Cricetulus griseus: one gene and its partners. The protein of the gene in region 1 purifies or fractionates together with the protein of each later gene. This does not show direct contact. Links are inferred from orthologs where the notes say so. Each region holds a gene or a part of one and is shown on either strand. Other genes may lie near its edges.

What was found. The genes of interacting proteins can lie anywhere in the genome.
Region 2: the proteins of Nap1l1 (region 1) and Nap1l5 purify together in Homo sapiens (affinity purification with mass spectrometry; 3 studies listed by BioGRID and IntAct, counting the BioPlex papers as one, with this or other methods). This does not show direct contact. The link is inferred for Cricetulus griseus from reciprocal best matches to the Homo sapiens genes NAP1L1 and NAP1L5.
Region 3: the proteins of Nap1l1 (region 1) and Maged2 purify together in Homo sapiens (affinity purification with mass spectrometry; 4 studies listed by BioGRID and IntAct, counting the BioPlex papers as one, with this or other methods). This does not show direct contact. The link is inferred for Cricetulus griseus from reciprocal best matches to the Homo sapiens genes NAP1L1 and MAGED2.

The regions. Positions count from the first base shown.
Region 1 is NW_023276806.1:144,110,497-144,114,441, reverse strand, and holds the start of Nap1l1 (nucleosome assembly protein 1-like 1), read left to right. Parts: upstream 1-1,141; 5' UTR 1,142-1,293; intron 1,294-3,945. UniProt on the Homo sapiens protein: Histone chaperone that plays a role in the nuclear import of H2A-H2B and nucleosome assembly.
Region 2 is NC_048601.1:83,307,603-83,310,043, reverse strand, and holds Nap1l5 (nucleosome assembly protein 1-like 5), read right to left. Parts: upstream 983-2,441; coding exon 512-982; downstream 1-511.
Region 3 is NC_048604.1:108,703,696-108,707,683, forward strand, and holds the start of Maged2 (melanoma-associated antigen D2), read left to right. Parts: upstream 1-1,177; 5' UTR 1,178-1,265; intron 1,266-1,367; exon of another isoform or gene 1,368-1,516; intron 1,517-1,593; 5' UTR 1,594-1,621; coding exon 1,622-1,666; intron 1,667-2,027; coding exon 2,028-2,519; intron 2,520-3,104; coding exon 3,105-3,479; intron 3,480-3,562; coding exon 3,563-3,626; intron 3,627-3,870; coding exon 3,871-3,950; intron 3,951-3,988. UniProt on the Homo sapiens protein: Regulates the expression, localization to the plasma membrane and function of the sodium chloride cotransporters SLC12A1 and SLC12A3, two key components of salt reabsorption in the distal renal tubule.

The sequences.
Region 1 (3,945 bases):
TACTAAATGAGCTACATCCACAGGGCCCAACACTGACAAATCTTGAAGAGTGGTTATTCTTCATTAAAACAGTCATATCACATAGCCTGTTATATGAGCATATTAGTTTTTACCAAGTTCTTCCATGCCTGATTGTTTGTATTTCCAATGTTTTCCTATCCTATGATGTGTAGTGGCAGAAATACTCCAGTGTAGGCTTGTGGGATAATGGGATGTAAAATGTTGACAGTGCCTTAGTATTATAGACACAGGTTGGACCTTCCACCTTAAAGGGTGTGTGGAAGGTCAGACCACACTTGGAGCACAACTGTTTTGTGGCACATACCCACATTCTGGAAGATTTCAGTTTTGATACCAGCATGGGCTACTCAGTGCAGCCCTGCCTAAAACCAAAACAATTAAGCACCAAACTCAAAAGAGTTAACAGGTGAGTTGTAGCCAACTGAAAAAGAGCAGCAAGGTTTCACAAGCTTAAGGGTTTTATACAAGATTAACTTTTTTCAGGAAGATGAAAAATTGATACACTGGTTGTTGTCATTATAAAGCGTTTTAAGAATTTAAAAGCATCATAAAGCAGTTCTACCATCAAGTCAACTAAAGCAGAAATGAAGGATTGCGTATCCGGTGAACATGATGCGGAACACGGTAGAAGGCGCAAAGGCCCCTTGACTAAGAAGCAAAATGTGCCGAAGATGCCGCTGCGGTGTCCCGGAGGAAAGAGCTGTGTGGTTCTTAGCCGGGGTGGGAAAAAAAATGGTTTCAGAGAAGAGGAGGAGGAAGAGTTGCAGGAATCACGCCTGGACGCGGAATCCGAGCCGGGATACTGCAAGCCGGCGACCAGGCTGCTGTACCTAACCCAGCGAGCGGGCAAGGAGAACCAGGGTCGCCGCGGTGAGTTTGGGATTTCGACCCCACCGCAGAGGCGAGAGACTGCGCGGTGCGCAACCAGCAGACGACCAAGTCTGGCGGGAAGCCTAGGGCTCCGAGGGGGGTGAGAGGGGGAGAGAAGGACGGCTCTGTTACTAGGCAACACGGGCCGGGCCCGCCTCCTGCTGCCGTTGCTAGGCGACGCCGAGGCCAGGGGGCGGGGGGAGGAGGGCGGCGGAGCGGCCCTACGTGCTGACGCTAATTGTATATGAGCGCGAGCGGCGGGCTCTCGGGTCTCTTTTAGCGCCATCTGCTCGCGGCGCCGCCTCCCGCTCCTCCCGCTCCTCCCGCCGCCGCCGCCGCCGCCCTGAGTCACTGCCTGCGCAGCTCCGGCCGCCCGGCTCCGCGTCTGAGCCTCCTGGAACGGTAACGGCTGGGACCCGGGAGGGCTCGGGGCCTGCGAGGTGTGCGTGCGTGTGAGTCGGGGTGTCCGAGGCCGCGCCGCCTGAAGGGCCCCGGCGGCGCTTGCCGGCTGCGGGGCGCGCGGGACAGCGAGGCCGCGGCGGCGTGGAGGGGGAGCGGGAGGATGAGGAGGCCACGCTGCGGAGCGCATGGGTCGCCCCGGCCACCCGGGCCGCCGCTGCCTCGGTGTCGTCGTCCCCCGTCCCCGAGAGGAGCACCACGAGCAGGCCGCGGGGGTGTGGGGGATGGAAAGAACGGTGGCCGCGAGTTCCGCCCGCGGGGGGAGGAGGGAGGGAGAGAGGGGGCTGCGCAGGCCGCGGCCTCCCGCGCTCAGGAGCCGGGCACGTGGGGACGCGCTGCGGACGGCGGGAGACCCCTCCCGCTCGGGCTTCCCCAAGATTTGAAGACAAGGAAGGTCGGGTTGCGCCGAGGACCAGCCCCGAGGGCTCACGCGCTTCCCTGGAGGAGAATGTGCTAGCGGATGGGAGGATGCCGGTGGCGGGGGGTGGGGACGACGACCAGGGGAGGATGGGGGGGGGCGAGAACAAGCCTGCGCGGCTGGGGTTGTTAAGGGTTAACACGTGCAAAGCATTTAGCGTAGCTTTTTCTTTTTTCTTTTTTTTTTTCTATCTAGAGGTGGTTTTGTGCCTCACAGGTACGGTTAGAACTTCTGGGTACCTTGGCCCCGGGGTCTTATTTGTGTGGAGAGAGAACTTGCTCTGAAGTCTCCTTAAACCTCCGGATGGTTCTAAGATGAAGAGGAGGCTGGCTTGTTGGGTGCGGGGTGGGGGTAGGGGCTCCCATTCTACTAGACCAACAGCGTAGTTTTCCCTTCCAGAACTTCCCAGAATTCTCACTGGGGGTATGAGGTGGAGCAAGGCATTAATATATACTGATACTGGGCAAAACTCAGTGCGCCACATTTATATAGAGATCTCAGGCGTGGCCATGAAGGGAGGGAGGAGACAGGTCCTGTCGGGAGGGCTAGACTTCCAGAATCAAAGGGTGAACCAGGTACGAGCCTGCAAGGACTCCCTATTTCATCTCCTGTCTCCGAGTTCTGAGAAAATAACGTCTTAAAAACTCAAAATACTGACTAACCTGGTTTCAAGAGAGCCAACCTAGAGTTTGCTATATTTTTTGAAAGCAGTTTAGCATCAGAACATCTTTGCAAACTAATATCCAAAGAAATATTTTGGTTTTGTTAGGGGAAAACCTAAAACAGGTAAACGGGATTTTCGGTGGTCTTGGGGAAGTCTTTTTCTCTCAAGCTTGTGTACAGTTGAAGTACACGCCCCATATTTAAACCATACAACTACATTAATTCCAAATCTGGATTTGAAGGATTTAAGTTAGCATTAGCAGGGACTTAGACATCTGTCATAAAATCTTGACTTAACTAATTGTTCTTTTCAAGTCAGCATTTAGATTAATAAAAAGTTAAAGACTCTTCAACATAACGTGATGTCTGTTCGTTTTATCTGTTGCAAAATACCTGTTTTGTTTTAAGTCTTGGGCCCTATAATTGACAATAGTTTAATATTGACATGTCCTTTCATGAGATTAAAAAAAATAACACTCTTGGCCGAACCAATGTGACTAAAATTCTGTAGTTTATTTTATTATTTGTATTGGCCTAAGGTGACCGAAGCCAATACAGGAAGGGGGGTGCTGAAAGAGGTGGGATGCGACTTAAAAAGATCTGAAGGTATCAGAACACATTGCTTATTTTATTGGGTTATAAGTAACTGCTAGACCTCAGGATTTCCACTCTGCCTTTCATTGCTAAAAATGTATTTGGACAATTAACTTGAAAAGTTTTTCATGTTTTTATTTACAGTGGAAAAGGAACTATAATTTCCTTAGAATAAAGAGACTGCTACAGGGGTTAGCTTGGGTTAAGGGCACTGGTTTTTCCAGAGGACCTGGGTTCAATATCCAGCACCTACTTGGTAGCTCACAACAGTCTGTTACTCTGGTCCCAGAGCGTCCAACTTGTATACAAAGGATGTACAGACATAATGTGTAGGCAGAACACCCATTAACATAGAAACAAAGGTTATGAAACAATTAAAGATACTCCATGGGGAACAAATAGGCACAGTGATTACTGTGAGACTCTTTTTTTAAAGACAGGTTCTCTTCTTACATAGCACTTGGCTGTGTAGGGAAGGCGGCTCTTGAACTCAAGAGATCCACCTGCCTCTGCCAGTGAATGCTGAGATTAAAGGCGTGGGGTTGTTTAAATTCCATCATTCCAATCATTCATTCATGTATTTGTTTATTTAATGCTGTCAGGTAGTATTAGCTTTCTCTTTAGAAACATGCCTTAGGTGGTAGTAGTAACTAACTAGTAGTTTAGTATTAGTTAACTAGTACTACTAACATTTTAGCTAGAAAACAGGTCTGGTATGATTAAAAGGCTTACTCAGACTTTTGCAATGATGAGGTTGGGTTCTTGTTTTTTTTTTTTTTTAAGCTTTTATTATGTGTGTATTTTGCTCACATGTATGACTGCACCCTGTGTCTTGCTGGTACCTGTAAAGGTTAGAAGAGGTTGTCAGATCCTAGTGTGAGCTGCCAAGTGGGCTCCTGGTCTCTGCAGGGAAAACAAGT
Region 2 (2,441 bases), on another chromosome or scaffold:
GTCCAGGCTTCCTCCATGCCACGTCTCCTCCAGAGTGTAAAGCTGATGTCTGGGTTTGCAAAAGCAAAAGTCTTAAAGATGACGTCGTTCTTGGATTCCTTCTCCTCTTCGCTGGAAAATGTAAAGAAACTGAAGAATTAAGCATTGAGAAAAGTTCAGTCTTAGCTTGGGTGGTCGGGTGTAGTGAGATGAATGGATTTCAACGTGTGACGCACTTCACATTTAACTGACCATCTTACATCAGTCTCAAGTCCAGTTCTCTCAGAATTGCAGGGAGAAAAAAAAATTAAGCTTAATTAGGCTTTTTTTGTTTAAAAACGTCTTTTGGTATTTGTTTTACACAATTAAGAGTCAGATTAAAAACGGGCTAGCCAAAATCTAGATTCAATTTAAATTTAGGAATGTCAGAATAGATTCACATTGTATTTTGGGCAAAACCTGAGCCTTTTAAAGTCTGCCGACATCGGAAATGAAAGGGGTAGGGGGTTTATCACCTGTCATCTGCTGGCGTTCACTTCTTGGCGGAGTCGGGACCCCCAGTGGCGCCGGCCGCAGCCTCTTCTTCCTCCTCCTCCTCCTCCTCGTCTTCTTCCTCGTCGTCATCATCATCTTCCTCCAGGGTCCAGGCGCAGCCCTCCATCTCACCGGTGAGCTCCTGGATCTTGGCAAGAAGGGGCTTGTAGATGTCGTTGTACTTCTTCTCCAGAGCCTGGAATTCCTTGTCAAATTTGGCCTCGATCTTATCACAGCGCTTCTGCAGCTTTTTGAGCGCCAGAACTCGGCACTTGACGGAATTGGGCAGGCTCTCGATAAACTCGTTCTTGGGCTTGGGCGCGTTCTCCCCGGTAGCCTGTGGCTCTTCGGCCGCGGGCGCAGCGGCACCCTCGCCTCCGGTTGCCACATCCTCGCCACCCTGGGCGCCCTCCATTACCTCGTCTTCGGCACGGCTCTCAGCGGGTCCCTGCTTCTCGGGGTCGGCCATGGCTAGCGTTCGGCTCGGCTCGGCTGGTTTGCCGCAGTGGTCTGGTGATTGCGCAGTCTGCGACTGTGCTGGTCCAGAGAGGTCCTCCTTCTGTGACTGCGGCTGGTCCAGAGTGAGTCTAAAGATGCGGCAAATGCTGACGGCTGTGGTGACGTCCGCGCTGCCGCTTCGTGGCTCGCGGCAAATGAATGGCTGCCCGCTATCAGCTGATGGTTTTGCGCACATACTGCACCAGATTGTTGCTATGCTGCTATCTCCGAGGTCCTCAAAACCACTTAGACTCCCAGCCCCCAGCTTCCGCCCCCTCCCCTGCAGAGCTGGCTGGAACCAGCTCGAGGCTGAGCCTGTATTTTTCCATACCTGTTTATGCAGCCCCAGGCTGTTTGCTTTGTGCCCCCCTCTTCCGTCTCAGCCCTTTGAATCCGCAATGCACCTGTTAACTGTTTTTTCGGAAGTGCGCCATAGCTGATGCTGGGCAGTCTTAGCTATGGGTACCTTCCTTTCCGAATCTTGATTGCGTCTTAAATTCACTACCAGAGAAAAGAAATGCGGGAGAACCATTTTCCCCCCACACCTTTGCAGATCTGCATATCTGCGCATTATCTGCGCAAGCCATCTTGGGCGCCTTGAGCTCACAGCCAGCCATCTCGCTTAAACCTAGTTACATACGTTCTGGTGGCAAATTATCACCCGAGGTACTTTGGAATTACTTCTAGAAGTGCTTGTGTAGGAAATCTCAGCACCGTAACCTTCCTGGTAGTTACCGAAGGGTCCACCCAGGCGCCAATGAAAAGGAATAAAGCAAGGGTGAACCGAAGGAAAAAAACCCTTCGGAGTGTCCAGCCTTGTGACTTTGTGAAAAGACGCCATCGTCTCCCAATGTGTGGGGCCCATTCATCGTTATCTTGGGAGGCATGCAGCCTCTGGGTGGCAGGTTAGTCATCCCCATAAGAGCCAGGGAGAAGAGATTCTTTTAATACATCTTGAAAAGCGTGTGTTTGATCCTACTCGCCCTACCGCACCTACAGATGCACGTACAACCATTTGTCACCAAACACTTCACAGTTAACCATCTGCTCTTAGGATCTGCTTGTGATTTGCGTGTGAGAACATTGGAAAAGACCATCAACATCAGATGCTTGTTTTCTGATAATGAAGACGTTTTCTGGTAATTGGACACTTTAATATCTTACCCAAATACCCATATTACGCCAGCCCAGGCTAGCTTCTAACCTCTGATCATGATGACCTTAAATTCTGGGTTCCTCCTGCCTGCCTCTTTAGGGCTTCTTGTTTATATACAGGGCAGGGCACAACTCTTAAGTAGTTTCTAGAGCATTCATTTGTTACCAATTTAAGTGTTTTTCTTTCTTGCCAGAGTCTTATGCTTATGAAATCTGAAAGAAATTTCTGTCTTTTGGTTATTATGCATATTAAATTAATTATATGTAAATCATTT
Region 3 (3,988 bases), on another chromosome or scaffold:
GCTGGGCTGGGCTGGGCTGGGCTGTCTGCAGCTCTAGTCCAGGAGGCTGAGACTTCGAGAGGGACTGAGAGCAGGCACACGCATCCCAGACTCGCTAGAGGACAAGGTGAGAGGACAAGACTGGGCTTTCCTGGCGACGAGACAGTGGTTCTAACTCCCGAAACCTACAGCTGGGCAGGTGGACAATTCTTATTTCACTACTGTAGCTGGAGCAGAGGTGCTGCTTTTAATGCGGTGTGGGAAAGAGAACAACCAAGAAAGTAGTAGGCTGTATATGGACTGGACAGCTGAGACTGTCGGAGGTGAAGGAGAGAAAAAGGGGAACTGTGCATGTTGGGAGGAGAAGGAGGAATACGGGGGGGGATGTGGAGGGGGAGACAAGATCCAGAGAGGAGAATAGGGGTATGCAGAGAAGGGTTAAGGAACATTGGGGGGGTTGTGCATAGGTAATACAGAGGAGGATGTAAGGAATGGGAAGAGATTTCTTAGGGTAAATAGGATATGCGATGGGAAATAGGGAGTCCGGAGTCAGGCAGAGGGAATAAGGAGGGGGGGGATAAGGAGTGATGAGGGGGGAAGGGCAGACGGGCTGGGACGGAGGCCCCCAAGGGAGGCGGAAAGGGGCGGGACCACTTCCGGCCTTTAGTGGGGAGGGCAGTATCTTGAGTTTCGGAGGGGCTTGGAGAGAGTGGACGCATTCGGGAATTGTAGGAGGAGGAGGTGAGCCATGGGCCCCAGCTTTGGATGAGAGCCTGCTAGGGGTCGGCCCCACCCTCTGGGATTTGGAGAAAACCTGCCTTAAAAGCCAAATCTTACCGAATCCATCCAGCTAGGAAGGGAGGGGACTGGACCCCGTTTGGCTGGGCCCAAGATGGAATCACTAGTTCAGTCCTGAGTTGAGGAGGGGGTGTTACAGGGAAGGAGCCAAACCAATTTGGGTTTTGCCGTTTGGAGGGGGGCGTGTTAGGATAAAGGGCGGGACTTGGAGGCTCTGTGAAATTGATAGGGTGGATGTGAGTAGGGGAGGGGCTGGGACCACCAGACACTGCGACAATTTGGAAGGAAGGCTTGGTGGGGAGGGGGCGGGGCCGAACAGCATTGCGGACCTAGAAAGGGGCGTGTGTAGGGGCTGGGTGCTGGACTGAGACCGTGGCCATTGCGCATGCGCTTTATGTATAGCTAGAAAGGGGCGTGTAGAGAAGGGCTCGCACGGAGACAGGGCCAGCTGCTGAATGCGCATGTGCACGGTGGACTTCAAAGAACGGGTTTGTACTGGGAAAGCAGGCGGGGTTGAAAGGGCGCTGCAGCATAAGCGCATGCGCATTCCAGGCCTGCGGCTGGGGGGGGTGCGCTGGGAAAAGGGGGCGGGGTCCTTAGAGCTGCCGCGCTGGCACATCTTCCTGGAGGAGGGGAGGGTGCGGCTGCAGAGAACTGAGACCTAAAGACTGAATTTCTGTATCTGAGAACCTACTGGTTGGGGCTCGGGGAGGGGCTGGGCTGTGGGGCCCTAGAAAAGGTGAGGATCAGCTTCTAGGCAGAAGAAGGGATACGACATTCAGCGGGTTCTCCACTTGACCCAGGCCTTCTCTTCAGACTCAGCTTTGTCGGGTGAACTTGAGACATGTCTGAAACAAGTGAGAGTGGTGCAGGTCCAACTCGCTTTCAGGTAAGACCAATTTTTGCCCTCTCTTTCTTACTGCTTTGCCTTTCCAGCCCCCTTTGCTGCTCCAAATCTTTGGAGCTTCTCCTCCCATCCTTGTCATTCTCCACCCACTTCTTTGCCGGGGTGCATCCCCTCTCCCCAGTAGAGGGGAGGCCAGGAGGAAGGGGGAGAGGGTGGGAGGGCCCTTGTACTGTCACTACTTTCTACTAAGGGGAAGGGGAGACCTTTTTATGGGGAGGTGATCAGAGCACACTGCAGGTAGAAGTCTTTACAGGTCAGAGAAGTGGTGCCTCGGAATTTGGGGACCATTTCTATAGTTGAGGGTGGGGAGAAGGTCGGCGAACTTCGCTGCTTCCCCTTGCAGGGCAAAGCTTCAGAAAAGGACAGCGGCTCCATGATGCAGGACCTGTTGCCCGCGACCCAGAACTTGGAGGTCTCAGAGACACCGAAGGCTGAAAAGGCACCAGAGGTCTCAGAGGCTGCAAAGGTCCCCAAAGCCTCTGGGAACCCGAAAGCCACAGAGGTCTCGAAGGCCCCAGAGGATTCTGAGGCAGCTGCCACCCAGCCTTCAACTACCACACAGCTGACTGATACCCAGGTTCTGGCAGCTGAAAACAAGAGCCCAGCAGCTGACACCAAGACGCAGAAGGCTGACCTGCAGGCTATGACAATGCCTGCAACCCAGACCAAAAAGGTCAGCTGTGTTACTGATCCGAAGGTCAGTACAAAGGCCCCTGAGACTGAGGCTGCTGACTCTCAGGCTGGAGCAGATGAACCAGAGCCTGAGGGTGCAGCTGTCCAGGTCCAGGAGAATCAGGATACTCGGCCCAAGGTCAAAGCCAAGAATACCCAAAAGGTAAGACCTCTGCCACAGCTGCCCTTGCTCCTCCACATTCATCATGTCATTTGGTTTGTTTGTTCTGCAAACATTAAAAAATCTCTTGTCCTCATGAAAGACACAGAGGAATGTGTTACAGTTCTTGTATCCACAGAGCTCACAGGCTGGTGGGGAGATATGACAGGAATATACATAGCTGCAATCTGTGATGCACTTTATATTTATGCAGTAGCTGTACACTTATCTGAAAGTAACTCCTATGGTTTCGTTCTGTAGAGAAGGAAAATGATGTCCAGAGAGAGGGCTAGTCCAGGTTGGCATAAGCAGAGTCAGTGGTGGACATAGGAAGAAGAGAATCCCCATGCCGTATTTCTGAGTTGTTCCTGATCCACTCAGGGAGGAAATTCCCAACTGGTACTCAGTGATAAGCCCATGACTCAGGATGGCTAGTGTACAGTGAGGCAGACTATTACGACAAGGTCAGAGTTAGGGGTACATCCAAGAAGAGACAGGGTTAGGGCGTGCTTTCCAGAGGAGACTGAGTTAGGAGAAAGAACCATCTGCTTCACTTGCTGATGTTGGTCCTCTTCTCTGTCGATGCAGGTGAAACACTTGGATGGGGAAGAAGATGGCAACAGTGGCAACAGTGGCAACAGTGGCAACAGTGGCAACAGTGGCAACAGTGGCAACAGTGGCAACAGTGATCAGAGTCAGGCTTCGGAAACCACAGGTGGTCGGAGGGTCTCAAAGGCCCTAATGGCCTCCATGGCCCGCAGAGCTTCAAGGGGACCCATAGCCTTTTGGGCCCGCAGGGCATCAAGGACTCGGTTGGCTGCTTGGGCTCGCAGAGCTTTGCTTTCTCTGAGGTCACCTAGAGCTCGGAGAGGCAAGGCCCGAAGAAGAGCTGCCAAGCTGCAGTCTGCATCCCAAGAACCTGAAGCACCCCCACCTAGAGATGTGGCCCTTTTACAAGGAAGGGTATGAACTTCATCCTGTACATCCCACCTTTTCCACGGCCTTGCCCGACTTTTTAGTCTTTTCACTGTTTCCTTCTCTCTTAGGCAAATGAATTGGTGAAGTACCTGTTGGCTAAAGATCAGACGAAGATTCCCATCAGGCGCTCAGGTAGAGTCCTATAAACAAGTTCCCTCTCCTGAGGTCTGCCTTCTCTCCAGTGTGCTGGGGACATCCTTCCCTCTCCTGTTCCTATCTCTTCTCCCAAAGTTCTCGGAGTAGTGCCATCATTATCAATAAGCCCAAAACCTGATTATGACACCCATGGCATGGACAACAAAGGGTCTGTAGGTTGGACATGAGGGTCACCTGGTATCTCTACAGCCCCAATGTTTACAACACTCTCCTTTTGCAGATATGCTGAAGGACATCATAAAAGAATATACTGATGTATACCCTGAAATCATAGAACGAGCAGGCTATTCCTTGGAGAAGGTGATGGGGCAGCCCTGGGGGATGGGTGCACTGGGGAA